Tamandua tetradactyla: one gene and its partner. The protein of the gene in region 1 purifies or fractionates together with the protein of each later gene. This does not show direct contact. Links are inferred from orthologs where the notes say so. Each region holds a gene or a part of one and is shown on either strand. Other genes may lie near its edges.

The links.
Region 2: the proteins of REXO4 (region 1) and RRS1 purify together in Homo sapiens (co-immunoprecipitation; 3 studies listed by BioGRID and IntAct, with this or other methods). This does not show direct contact. The link is inferred for Tamandua tetradactyla from reciprocal best matches to the Homo sapiens genes REXO4 and RRS1.

What each region holds. Positions count from the first base shown.
Region 1 is NC_135328.1:133,124,427-133,132,277, reverse strand, and holds the start of REXO4 (RNA exonuclease 4), read right to left. Parts: upstream 3,208-7,851; 5' UTR 2,973-3,207; coding exon 2,748-2,972; intron 1,524-2,747; coding exon 1,180-1,523; intron 1-1,179.
Region 2 is NC_135332.1:109,968,918-109,975,797, forward strand, and holds RRS1 (ribosome biogenesis regulatory protein homolog), read left to right. Parts: upstream 1-4,543; 5' UTR 4,544-4,670; coding exon 4,671-5,768; 3' UTR 5,769-6,250; downstream 6,251-6,880. UniProt on the Homo sapiens protein: Involved in ribosomal large subunit assembly. May regulate the localization of the 5S RNP/5S ribonucleoprotein particle to the nucleolus.

The DNA of each region.
Region 1 (7,851 bases):
GAGAGAAACCCTGAACTTCATCGGCCTTCTTGAACCAAGGTATCTCTCCATGGATGCCTTTGATTGGACATTTCTTTAGACTTGTTTTAATTGGGACATTTTCTCGGCCTTAGAACTGTAAACTAGCAACTCATTAAATTCCCCTTTGTAAAAGCCATTCCGTTTCTGGTATATTGCATTCCAGCAGCTAGCAAACTAAAACAACCATCAAATGGAAAGCGCAGAACTCCTAAGGTTGACAGGTGGTGTTTCCATGTCAGGCCTCCATGCTTGGATGCCCACACAACAACAGAAGCATGTCACTGGTGAATTCATCCTTTGGGCTTGGCTGAAAGGCCATTCCCTGAGAAAAACTCTTCCCAAGCCCCACCCACTGAGATGTGCTGCCCCTGCCAGCACCCCCCGTAAGCATCTCTGCACCAAGTGCACAGTGAACACAGACACATGGCTCCCAAGATGATTTCAGCTTATCACCAGAAGCTCAGGCCAGGGCCAGGCTTGTCCTGCCAATGGCTCCAGTCCCAGATGTGGTCCTAGCACAACGGCATCTGCTGGACACTCAGATGATTCATTCCTTTGACCTTCACACCGTATCCTGAACACCCAGGTAATGTGGAGCCTGCCTCTGACCTGCCAAGGTGCCACCTTCAGGTGAGACACCGCCGGCTCCTGGTCCTCCTTGCGTGAGGGACAATCATATGGGCCAGTACCCCATGCCCACCCTCTACCCCTTCCCACTGCCCGCAGATGGCTGCACGAGGCTTGGGGGGCTTCCCTCACTTGTTCCAAACCAGCCAACCCACAAGGAATAAGACCTGGTGTCCATCTCGTGTCTCTCCGGCTCTGGCATTCATTCACCCCACAGATCTACTGTGCCTACTAAGTGCTGTGCTTGTGCCGGAACCTGAAGACACAGGGCTGAGCACGAGACAGCCCTGCTTCCGTGATGTCCGCATGCTAGGGGAGAACAAGTAACAGCAGATTACAACCAAAGTGAAAGCAAATACCGTCAGGTAAGGCGATGGCAAGTCTGCAGGGGTACCGGCCTCAGGGTGTGATGTCGCTGTAACTGTTCTCAGGGGTGAGGGGTGACAGGGGCCAGGCTGTGGCCCTGAGAGCTGATTCTGGCTGCAGAGGAGGCCACGGGTACCACTGGGGAAAGAAACTCCAAATACTTACTCTGTTGGCGGGGTTGCAGCTGCCTCCTTGGCTTTCCGCTTATGTTTGATAAGCACTCGCTTCACAGAAATGGCTCCATTTGCCTTTTTCCTGGTTGCCTCCTCCTTGTGCTCTACTCTGATGGCCTCTGCAGGAAGTGCTGGCCTCTTCGTGTCTGTCAGAACTCCAGAAGGTGTGGAGTTCCTGGGGGCCCTGCGGTCTGGTTTTGCTGTGGGCCCTGGCTGTGTTTCATCTTCACCTGAGACTTCCTTTCTGTTTTGCCAGTTAATTTTGGGCTGCTTTTTGGAGCCCATCTGAGGGGTAACAGGAAGCTTTTCTGGGGTTTGTGGTTTTTGTTTCAGCAACTAAGGGATCAAAAATAAAATGAATGCCATTTTTTAATTTGGAAAGTAAGTAAGCATAGAAGATTAAAAAAATTTATGTGTATGTGTCTCTAATAGATACAACCACACATCAATCACATCTATGTAAACTTCCTACCACCATCCCTGAAATATATTTTCAGGTGGGTTGGGAAAGCCCCTTCTCATTCTTGCCCATAACACAGCATTCTTGTGAATGCTGTTCCCCTGCTTATTCCACTGCCTTGCATAAGCTGACATTCGCTCCCTTGTTTAGGCCAATACACCACCCTGAAGTACCTGTCGATCACTGGACACTGCAGACCAATTTGCTCTGAGCCTGCAGAAACATTAGGCAACCTGATACCATTTTCTAAAAAATGTATTTAACTTATCGCATAAGTTATTTCTAAGTCAGAAATGACTGGGTGTCAATATGTTGGCATACAGCAACCAGCTTCTTTACAAACTTTTTGGTTTGCTGTTGTGAGGGTCCCAGGAAGAGGAACAGCTCTTGTCAAACTGGAGATGGCTGAAGAATCCCAGCAGTCTTGGTTCTGCCTCATCCCAAGAGGGGATCCAAGGTCTCTGAGCCCATCTACCTCTCCATGCTCACGTCCCCACATGGCAGTTCTCAACCAGTGAAGACCCTGCTGTGGAGCAACCAGCTGAGAGAGGGTAAGCTGAGTTCCACTTACCTGTGTCCATAATATCTAGAGAACTAAAGGACTTACATACTCTCACAAGGAATTCAAGATTTCCCCTAAGCACACATCCCTCTCATGCACTGAATTCTGATGTACCTTCTTGGGAGAAAGAGGTAGTATTACAGCTAGTGTTCAAGACATTACGCAGAACCCCGGGATTCCCCAGGGGAATTCAACTCTGTTTGAACATGATCTAGTCCTCTGTGTCGGGGTAGGAAAACCCCTACAAACCACTGCCCTTAGGACAGCGTGCCGGGTGTTAAGAGGCTCAGGAGGTTCTCTACTTTCTCTCTCTCACTCAGAGGCCCCACAGTGGACTCCAGAAAACTGCAGAGGAGACTCTGAAAGTCAACAATGCGCAGCAGCAAAAAGCATCAACCCATTTCAGAACGTGTGACTTTGGGCCCACACCAGTCTTTCCCTTTCTAGTGTGTGCTGCGTGACTGAACAGCGAGCCCCGGGGGAAATGAGCTTCCCTTGTCCTCGCCACTGGCTCTGGCAGGGCCCTCTCAAGTCCTACCTCTTGCAGCGCTTTCCAATTTTGAGAAAAGTCTTCTGGTGCCTTTGGAGGTCGCACCGCGACCACTCTGGACTCGTTTTCCGGCTTCTTGCTGACTTCTTGTGCTTTTTTTTTCCAGAATTTTTTCCTCTTGTTTTTCTTTCGATTTCGCTTCTTGACACTCTCTGGTTTCGCCTCGGGGCTGCTCGGGGCGCGATTGGAAGTCGGGGCCTTCGCCTTCGCCATCCCGGCACTACCCAAGGTCCCGGGGGCCCGACACTGAACGGCGGCGTCCGGCCGCCCCCCGCGCGCCCCCGGAAAGCGTATTCCCTCTCTTTAGTCTCCCGGCCGCGACGTGTCCTCAGCCAAAACAGAGACGGCCCCGGAGCCGGCCTATCCCCGCCGAAAGCACGTTTCTGCAGACCAACCCGGCTGTCACTGGGCAGGAACCCGAGCTCCGGGTCCCGGACAGGCCGCCGTAAGCGCTCCGCGCATGCGCGCGCCAGGCTCCGGAAGTGCTTCCCCCTTTCCCGCCGGCTGGAAACTGGGCTGCCGCCTCCGGTTCCGCGTTGGCCCGCACGGGAATAGGGCGTTCCCCAGAGAGCACCGCAGGGTGGGCGGTCGAGGGTCGGGTTTGGGGGCTCCCGGGATCCTGCATCGAGCCGGGAGTGGGGAGAGAAGCGCGGCTGGGAGCCTGGTCGGTGTAGCCCGCCGGCCGAGCGTGGAAGGGGGGCCTGGCGGCGCGTGTCCCCGGACCCTCGGCTTCGGGGCGAGAGGGGCGTGCTGCGGCCCCGACGGGCGGGAGTCCGCTTTGGCCCCCGCGAGCGCGTTTGCCTTCGCGACCCAGGGCTGCGGAGGACGGCCGGCAGCACCCCAGAGAGCGGCGAAGGGGGTGGTGAAGCGCGGGCTGCGGGCTGGGCCCCGGCCTGGCCCCGAGGGCCCCGACGTCGACGTCCGAGTGGGCGAAGGGGCTGCAGACGCCGACGAGAAATGGGCGGACGAGTGGACGAGCTCCCTTTGGATGGAGGTGACGCCAGTGAAGGCGGCGAACATGCCGTTTCGTGGTGGACCTAGACCCGGGGCAAGGCTGCCGGTGTGGGGCGCCCAGCTGTCTATGAGCCTCAGAAAAACCACAGTTTTGGCCGTGGGACGATGTCCCATGCCATAGATATCTGCGATTTTTGGAGCATAATTGTGCTAAAAATTTTACTTGTTTATCTGAAATTCACGTTTAATTGGGTGTCCTGTGTTTTTCCGGTGGAGGGGCACTTGGACGGAGGCAGGAGGGAAGGCCTCCTTGAGGACACATTGAGCTGAAACCCGAACGCGGAGATCCGAGGATGGAGCAGACAGCTAAGTACTGGCATAGGTGGGAATGAGTCGGTCGTGTGGGAGGGATGGAGAGAAAGCTGGTGTGGTTAAGCTCTGCTGGCAGAAGGGAGGGAGTGGAGGAGTGCAGGTACAGCCAGAGGGGTGTGCAGGGGCCAGGCCACCGTTGTGGAGCCTCGTGGGCTGCAGAAAAGAGTTTGGATGTTTTTGTTTAATGGTGAAGGAAGCCGTCAATGATTTTAAGCGTGAGAGGGTCATGATACAAGTGTTTAAAAGGTCATTTCGGCTTCTGTAGGAGGAATGGGATGCGGGAGGGAAGTGAGGAAGAAAGTAGGGAGACCATTTAGGAGATGATTACAGGTGGCCGTGCCAGAGATGGTGTGGCTTGGATTAGGTCTCCAGGAAGCAATTGCAGGGATGGAACAAGGACTGCAAAGCATTTATTACGGGCTGTGAAAGGTAAATGGGAAGATGCCAGAGGGCAGGGGAAGCCTTTCAGATAATGATGCAGATCTGCTGCCTGAGAAAGGGAAATGGGAAAGAAGCTGGAATAAGCAAGGGGGGTTCTCAGACTGCAGTGCAGATCTGACTGAGTACCGGCCAACCCAATGGAGAGCTCTGGAGCCAAGACTGCCTAATACAGGAATCTCCCCATGGGCAGAAGTGGGTTAGGGTTAAGGTTAGAGTTGTCGGAACCTAGCAGCCCCTTTGTGTTCAGTCCTTGGCCAGTGGCTTTTTAATTTTATTTATTTATTTATTATTTTTTTAATACAAAAAAAGACACCAATTAAACACAAACATTCCTATTTTGATCATTCCATTCTACATATATAATCAGTAATTCACAATATCATCACATAGTTGCATATTCATCATCATGATCATTTCTTAGAACATTTGCATCAATTCAGAAAAAGAAATAAAGACAACAGAAAAAAATAAAATGAAAACAAAAATATATATATGTACATATCATACCCCTTACCCCTCCCTTTCATTGATCACTAGCATTTCAAACTAAATTTATTTTCACATTTGTTTCCCCTATTATTTATTTTTATTCCATATGTTCTACTCGTCTGTTGACAAGGTGGATAAAAGGAGCATCAGACACAAGGTTTTCACAATCACACAGTCACATTGTGAAAGCTATATCATCCTCAAGAAACATGGCTACTGGGACACAGCTCTACACTTTCAGGCAGTTCCCTCCAGCCTCTCTGTTACATCTTGAATAACAAGGTGATATGTACTTAATGTGTAAGAATACCTCCAGGATAACTTCTCTACTCTGTTTGGAATCTCTCAGCCATTGACGCTCTGTCTCATTTCACTCTTCCCCCTTTTGGTCGAGAAGGTTTTTCTCAATCCCTTGATCCTGAGTCTTAACTCATTCTAGGATTTCTGTCCCATGTTGCCAGGAAGGTCCACACTCCTGGGAGTCATGTCCCATGTAGACAGGGGGAGGGTGGTGAGTTTGCTTGTTGTGTTGGCTGAGAGAGAGAGTTGGCCAGTGACTTTAAGGAAGAGAGTGCTCTTAGCCTAAATTGTGGAGCGGATGGAGTGGGTGCTGCTGCTGGAGGCCATTGGCTGTCTGCAACTTTTCTCACTTGAAAGCCAAGTTCTTTCTTGAAGGAAGATCTGAGCAGGATAATTCCACAGCTAACACTCATGAGCTGTGAAAAGAGAGCATAGACAGATTTGACCTGTGTGGTGGAGGCAGAGTTGGCAGGGAGTGAGAGGGGGATGGGACAACGTGGCTCCTACATTTTGGTCTGAGCAACTGGGTGTGGCCATTTATCAGCTCAATAAATGATCGAAGAAGGAGCAGGTGGTGCAGTGTGGGTGTGGAGCCATGAGTTCCTTTCTGACAAGTTAAGTTTGAACATTTATCAGTGCACAGATATGTCAAATCAGCAGTTGAACCTATGTTTTTTGACCTGTGTGTGGAGGTCAGTGCTGGAGATATAATCCAAGTCATCCATATAGAGTGGGGATGAAAACCACTAACCTGGGTTGGTTCACCTAGGGAGAGAGTACGTATACCAAAGAGAGAAGGGCAGGGGCCGAGGAGGAGAAGGAATAGCCAGTGCAGCAGGAAAAGAGCCGGGAATATGTGCCATCATGGAGCCCGAGGAGGGAAAGCAAACCACCTCCAGAACTGCCAAAATGTTGACACCACAGGTGGTGGCTGCATATGGCCACAAGATTATTACAGACTGTAATGGATTAAATTGTGTCCCCCAAAAGAACATGTTTAAGTCCTAACCTCTGGTGCCTGTGAGTGTGACCTTGTTTGGAAATAAGGTCTTTGCACATGTCATCAGGTTAAGATGATCATGTGGGATTCAGGTGAATCCTAATGTAATCCTCTAATGACTGGCATCTTGATAAGAGGAAAGAGAGGGGTATTCAGACAGACCCAAAGGATGCCCAGCGGGAAGAAGGCTGTGTGACGACAGAGGCAGAGGTTGGAGTGCTGCAGCTGTAAACTTAGGGATGCTAAGAATGGCTGGCCACCACCGAAGCTGAAAGAGGCCAAGGAGGAGACTCCCCTGCAGGTCTCAGAGGGAGCCCAGCCTGCTGATGCCTCGATTTCGGGCTTTGGTCTTGTATTAGTTTGCTAAAGCTGTCAGAATTCAATATACCGGAAACAGTGGCTTTGAAAGGTGAATTTATTATGTTGCAAGTTTGCAGTTCTAAGGCTGTGCAAATGTCCAAATGAAAGCACCAAGAAGAGGTTACCTTCAGTCAAGAAAGGTTGATGCCATCCAGAACACCTGTCAGCTGGGAAAGCACACATTGAAGTCCACTAGCTTTTTCTCCCGGTTCCTTGTTTCATGAGGCTTCCCCAGGAGCATTCTCCTTCTTCATCTCCAAAGGTCTCTGGCTGTGAAGATCCTAAAGCTTTTTCCAAAATGGTTCCCTCTTAACAGTCTCCAGTAAGTAACCCCACCTTGAATTGGTAGAGACACATCTTCAGTGAACTACCTAATCAAAAAACCCACCCACAGTTGGGTGGATCACATCTTCATGGAAACAACTTAATAAAAAGATGCCACCCAACAGCATTGAATGAGGATTAAAGAACATGGCTTTTCTGGGGTACACAACAGTTTCAAACCAGCACTGATCTCCAGAACTGTCAGAGAATAAACTGTTGTTTTCAGCCCCCCAGTCTGTGGTAATTTGTTACGGCAGCCCAGGGAAACTAAGACAATGACCTTAGTGAAAACAGTTCCCAGGGAGTGTGGGGATGGGTGGTGAGGAAGTGGAGGCAGTCACTTAAGACACCTTTTCCCAGTTTGTTGTTAAAGACGGTGAGGAATGGGGCTAAAGCAGGGGCATGGGATGGGTCAGGGGAAGGCTGTGGGTTTTGATCAAGAGACCCCAGAATGTTAGGTTGTATACATGATGCTAGAATGGAAGTTAACAGCAACAAAAAAAACTTGTGGAATTGCACAAGACAGACAGTGAACCCTGTGCAAAACCTTGGACCGTAGTTAATTATAAAAATGTGCTTTCATCAATTGTGATAAATGTATCAGCTAATGCAAGGTGTAAATAATAGGGTGGTGTATGGGAATCCTGTATTTTCTGCATGATTGTTCTGTAAACTCACAACTTCTCTAATAAAAAAAAAAAGCCATTAGAAGCGAAAACAATCTGTACAGTCTCTAAATTCCAAGGGGAGAAAAAGAATGCAAGCCAACCAATAAAAAATACAAAGGTACCATTATATATTAAAGTTAAGGGTCACTTCTCTGTCATGGTAAAGGTTTCATGATATTCTGTT
Region 2 (6,880 bases), on another chromosome or scaffold:
TCCTTATGGAAGTAAAAATCTGAAGTCTAACAACAATCTTATTACCTCAGGGCTTGGTGATGATATTTCATGCTTGCCTGCCTTACAGATAACGATAATATTGGCAAATTTAACAGTTTTGAAATGTTTAAGTTACATTTCAAAAAAAATTTAAACAATTTTTGAAAACAATTACTGCTGAAAATTTTACAGAGAGTGAAACAACTTAAATCAGTTCTAAAAGACTACCATCAATCTTACGATTCTGAAATCCAAAGTTCTTTGCAGGCAAACATACAATGTTTAGACATTATTTTGCCTGCTTCTACACTAACTGCACAACTCTTAATGCTATATCGTCTTTGTCCCTTTTTAAAATAAAATCACGGACTTTTAGTACAGGTTTCTGATGAAAACTGAAGTACATGAATACATAACTCTTACAATGTCTATGATTGAGAAGTTTTCAAAATTAAATTTTCCCTTCAAGTACTTTCAAATCAAAATTATAAATTAGTAAAAATGAACCATGTAGAAATAATGCACGTACTTTAAGGGCCATTTTTTTGCTATTTTATCAAATTACTGGCACAATGAATTTCATAGACAAAAATACTCAAAATAACTATGTTCTCAGCAGAATTAAAGAATGGTTGAGTCAATCCCCTGACAATTTCCGCTGCCAAAAAGAGGCAACTGAGAAACGACTGGAAAGCAAATCTAAGATAATGCAGTATCAAAAAAATGAAGAAAGAAATTTCATACAAAAATTTTACTGACCAAAGTAACTGTGTTTTGAGGGAGCATGAAAGGAATTACTTGCCCTCGATCTTGAACCTTCTTGTCCCTGGGGAGGAAGAAGCATCCCACAGGTTCACTTTTGTCAATGAAAAATTTCTCAATAGTTGCTACAAGAATACAATGCTGCTTTTTTTATTCTGTGTCTCATTTTTACCTTTCTTAATGCTCTGGAAAGACAGGTAAGATGGGAAAGAAAATTGGGGAAGAAATATTTGGACAAGCATAAGGAAAAATATCAGGACACACAAGCAAAGAGTTGTTGGGTCTGATCATGAACAGCCTTGCCAAGTCCAAGAACAAGCATTGTGTGTTAGCTAGACAAGGGAGGAGAAAGGTGGTTTGGTCAGATCTGTGGAACAAATCTTAAGGACTGACCTGAAGAGAGAATGGAGACAAGAAACCTGTTAGGGTGTTCCTGGGATACTCCTCAGGTTCCTGGCAGGGTCATAAATTGCCACCAAACTGGGTAATTTAAGACATACTAGCAAAGGAAATATTTATAAAGACAGGCGCAAGGTTTAAGGAGACCCACAAAGAGTAATCCTTAAAGGGCAGAGAGATATAAGCAATCCTAGGCTGGCAAGAAGGCTGCCCAAAGAAAGCTGTGACCTTTTAGAGGCACCAGCCACCCCAAGGCAATCTGCAGAGGGCTGGGGGCATTTGTACCCTGACCTCACTCTCTTCACATCCTCTGATGCTTTGCAAAGCTTCCCACTGGCCAAACCCAGTGGAAGTCAGGGGTACAGAACAGAGTAGAGACAGGATCTGGAGAAACAAAGGAAGAGATCCAGTCCAATCCTGATGGGGGGGATGGAATACAGAGACAAATTCAGCTGGACTTTTAGAATGATTGGATTTGGAAATGGAAAAAGAAAAGTCAAGAATGACTTTATAGTTTCAAGTCCCAGTTACTAGACTGGAATGATGATAACATCAGTTGAGCCTGTTTTTATTAACACCGGATTTCTCATCGCCTGACACAGTGCTCCAGGCTTCAAGGAACTTCAACAAACATTTGTTGAAAAAAGAGTGGGTGGGTGGATGGATGGATGAATGGAATGAAAGAAGAAATAAATTTGAGGGAAGATGATATATTATTTAGTTTTAGACACAGTATGGTGGAAGAGCCGAGTGGACGGAAAGGATCAAATCTGTACTACTGAGAACCATCTGCACAAAAGCAGCAGCTGACATCATGCAAGTGGATGAAATGGCACACAGAGCAGGTATTAAGAGAAAAGAAGTGAGATCTGAGGACCAGATTTGGGATCTGTGGGCCAAAAGAAGAAAAAGAAAACAAAGAGAAAAGACAGCATGTACAGCCATTTGCCAGACTGTTTAAACATATCCACATGCCTGCACATACCTGGCAGGCTTTCTTTTTTCTTGACACTGCACAGTCTTGCCTAACATGAGAATGATACAAATGCCTGGGGTCCATCACTTACCCACTTGGCTCAATTTTATTTTATTTTTCATTCAAACCCCATTCTTCACTACTTTTGCTTACCCTGAATCTAACACAGCCAACAGGAATACCTTTTTAATTTAGAGAAATCTGTAACGTTTTTTTCTTTCAAGCAATCATGTATTGAGTACCTATTATGTATCCAGTACTAAGTTCAGCAAAGTGAAAGTAAATATCAGTCTCCAACCAACAAGGAAATTAAAATACTCTCGGACTGTGAAAAACCAATAAACATAAAACAATTAAAGAACAATTAAGTGTTCATCTGTATAATCCTAACCAAATAACATTTATCCAGTGAGGATTCACACTATTCAATACCTGTCCACCTCCTTCTTAATCCAGGAGATTGATGGAGGAGCTAAAACCTACATAGGTGCACAATCTATTGGAAGCTCAATCACACTATTTTGTAAAATTCTCATTACCTGTGTTCTTTCCTGGTGTTCCAGAAGGTCTCAACCCACCTTGTATCTAGTGTCTGTTACATGGTAGCTGTTCAGTTAGATGTTTGCTAACTAAATGAATGAATCATAAACCAAGCCAGCACCAGGAGTTGTATCAACATTCCAACCTTCTTCTCTGGCAAACCACAAAAGCTTTTAGATTCAAGGCAGTTATCTAATATGGCCTTTGGCCTAACCTTGGCCTCCTAAGGTGACTGGTAGTAAAGACTTAGTGATGAGCACTAAGGCACAGGTTCAGAAAAACCCCAGCAACTACTACAATTATTTTAGATTAGAGGAAGAAAGGAGGGTCTAATACAATGTCTGGTGCATGAAATGTGCTCCATAAATGTTTGGTAAATCAGTGAACCAAGAACAGCTGAAGATAGTGAGCCTGAGACTAACTTGAGTACACAATCAGAATTAGGGTGCAGGCAAACTGCAGAGCCTGGAGCTCTTTTGTTCCAAGACAGGAGAGGATATGGCCCCAGGCTATAGGTCTATCTCTTAAACTTTTTATATTAATTTCTACTGCCTAATCTTCCAGCATAACCCCTACTTCATTATTTCCAATCCCCTGATCAAGGAAAACAAAACCTGTAAACCCCACAATCAGCAATGCCTCCTAAACGTGAATGTACATACTGATCACCTGGAGAGCTTGTTAAACCGAAGGTTCTGATTCTGTACATCTGGGGCAGGCCTGCGAGTCTGCCTCTCAAAGCTCCCAGGTGAAGCTATGCTGCTGATGAGCAGACCAGAGTATCAAGAGCCTGGTAGACACCGCAGTCTTAACGCTGGGTTAAGACACCTCTTGCCCCCACATTTCGTAGGTACATGACCTCGCACAAGTCATTTCACCTGAGTTTCATCACTGGCATATGATTAATACCAACAAGAGCTAACATGAGTGCTTACTAAGTACCAGAACTGTTTCCTATTTATCAACCTATTTGACTCCTCTAAATAACCTGTGCAAGGTAGGTACAGTAAATGGTAAACCCACATCTGACTTAAGCAGTCTGACTCAAGAACCTGGTGTCTTCAATTTAGCTGTTATGAAAGTGAAAGAGCTGTTATGAACATAATAGAGTAACTGGTATTAATTTAACTAACAGTTACTGAGCACTCTTTCGTCCCAGGCCCTATTCTAACTCCCCCTTGGGGTATATTAACGCCCTCATCTTTACAAAAGCCCCAAGCCATAGGTACTATTATTTTCTACATTTTGTATATTTTTAAACAGGCCCAGGAAAGTTAAATTGCCTAAGATTAAAATGTCCTTAGATGGCTCAGTCGGGATAAGCGCACAAGTAATCTAATTGCAGTGCCCGACGCTCGTCTTGCCCCGGACCAAGAGAGATCATGATTTCAGGCCTCTGAAGCACCAACACTCGCTCGCTCCCAAACCAAACAGATCCTTCTCCAGCACTCAACTTCACGTTTGTCTGGGACATGCCTTTCCCCGCCCACACATTAGGTCCCACCATTAGGGCCGTGGTGAAATCATTTCTGTAGCCCAACTAGGGATGCTTCACTAAACAACTTCACAAGGCATGTACAGTGAATTTGAAACACAGGGGCTCCGGAAACCCCCTAAAGCTGCGACCCCAATAATTCGTCCCTGGAACTGCCCCGCCTCCTGGCCCCGCTGCATTCTGGGAACCTCGACCTCAATCAGGCCCTGGAACTTGTAGTCTGGGCTCTTCGCGCTAGCTCCGCCTACATCCGGGTGCACGCCCGAGGTAGGGGGGGGGCTTCTAAACCCACAGGCTTTCCAACACCGCCCCCTGCCGGCCTATGGAGAAAAGGTAATGTAGACAGAGAGTCGGTTCCGGAGGCTCCGGAAGTGAATCATTCTCTTCCGGATCGAGGGTCTGAGCGTCAGCACGTGGCTTCGTTACCCGGCTTAGAACTGACACTGCCGGAAAAGTAACTTGAACTGTAGTTCTGAGCACGTTAAACGAGCCCGAGCTATGGACGGTCAAAGCGTGGAGGAGCTGCTGGCAAAGGCGGAACGGGATGAGGCAGAGAAACTGCAGCGCATCACGGTGCACAAGGAACTGGAGCTGGAGTTCGATCTGGGTAACCTGCTGGCCTCCGACCGGAACCCTCCTACGTGTCTGCGGCGCGTGGGACCCACGCTGGAGGCCGAACTACGGGCCCTAGCGCGAGACAACACTCAGCTGCTCATCAACCAGCTGTGGCAGCTGCCCACGGAGCGCGTGGAGGAAGCTGTGGTGGCACGGCTGCCCGATCCTACCACCCGCCTGCCGCGCGAGAAGCCGGTGCCCCGGCCGCGGCCGCTTACACGCTGGCAGCAGTTCGCGCGCCTCAAGGGCATCCGCCCCAAGAAGAAGACAAATCTGGTGTGGGACGAGGTGAGCGGCCAGTGGCGGCGTCGCTGGGGTTACCAGCGCGCCCGCGACGACACCAAGGAGTGGCTGATCGAGGTGCCCGGCGGTGCCGACCCTTTGGAGGATCAGTTCGCCAAGCGGATTCAGGCCAAAAAGGAACGGGTGGCCAAGAACGAGCTGAATCGGCTGCGTAACCTGGCCCGCGCGCACAAGACGCAACTGCCCAGCGCGGCCGGCTTGCACCCTACTGGACATCAGAGCAAGGAGGAGCTGGGTCGCGCCATGCAGGTGGCCAAGGTCTCAACCGCCTCTGTGGGGCGCTTCCAGGAGCGCCTACCCAAGGAGAAGGCGCCCCGGGGCTCCGGTAAGAAGAGAAAGTTTCAACCCCTCTTTGGGGACTTTGCAGCCGAGAAGAAAAACCAGTTAGAGCTATTGCGAGTCATGAACAGCAAGAAGCCTCAGCTGGACGTAACAAGGGCCACCAATAAGCAAATGAGGGAGGAGGACCAGGAGGAAGCCGCCAAAAGGAGAAAAATGAACCAAAAGGGCAAGAGAAAGGGGGGCCGACAGGGTCCTGGGGGCAAGAGGAAAGGGGGCCCGCCCAGCCAGGGAGGGAAGAGGAAAGGGGGCTTGGGGGGCAAGATGCATTCCGGGCCGCCTGGCTTGGGTGGTAAGAGAAAAGGGGGGCAGCACCAAGGAGGAAAGAGGAGGAAATAATAGAGGCACCCTCGGACTTGCTCTGTAAACCGGAAAACACATACTAAATTACTAAATGTTAAATTCTAGATAGAGCAGGGGGTATAGAAGAAGGTGGCCACTATCTTCACCGAGCTTGGGGTTGAAGGGACAGGACTGACCTCACCTCAAGAAAGTAAGTGTTGGACTCTACAAATTGTTTTTCCCACAACCGAGACTTTTTAGCTGGAGATGAAAAATTAGGGGAAGAACTTGATGGAAACCAGGAACGAGTTTCTGTTTTTAAATAGCCACCTTTTTTCTTTTTGACTTTGAATATGGGTGAGGGAGAGTTGGTCATATTTCAGAGACTCACAATGAATTAATTTATACATTTTTGCATTATTTTTGTAACAAATTTGTGTGTTTACCAAAGCAGGGGAGAACAGGAAAGATTACATTTTCACAACTGTACTTACAGCTAACTATTGAAAAGATTATTTAATAAAAGTGCTTATAACTTTGCAATTATTGGTAGAAATCTTAAGTGAAGTCCAGTGACATGGATACCAGGTACAGAGTGTTTTATTTACTTTCTAAAAGATATAAAGCAGCTAAATTATCATGGTTTCAGAGAAACCACTTTAGTTAGAAAAACTCACTTTTGGTATCAGATGATATTTGAAGATGTAATATAACGCTATTTCAAATGTACATTTCATGCTTTTCAACACGGGTTAATTTGATGTAAATGATAAACTTGGGTCTCACTAAATAATCATGGTAATTCTCATTGATGCAGAAAATATTTAAATTTGTTTCAGCATTTATGTTCCCTCACCCCCCCCCCCCCAAACTTGACTCTCAGTAAGATCTGTTTTGGAAAGGAAGAGACCCACAAAATCCTTACTTGGACCGTTAATATCTTCTGGATCAAAGCCTGAGCTGATTTTGTTCAAAAGTTAAATGTTTATGGCTGTCCTAGGGCTCTTTCCTGCCCATCAGTCTCTTCCTAATCTCGTCTGTTAAAAATATCTCCTGAAAAGGGTTCGTGATAGATGTAGAATTTAGAGAGCCTGTCCTGCTGGAGAGTTGAAAGACCCTGCTCTTTTTGGTCTGACAATTTGATAGGAGATTAAAATTGGAAATAGATT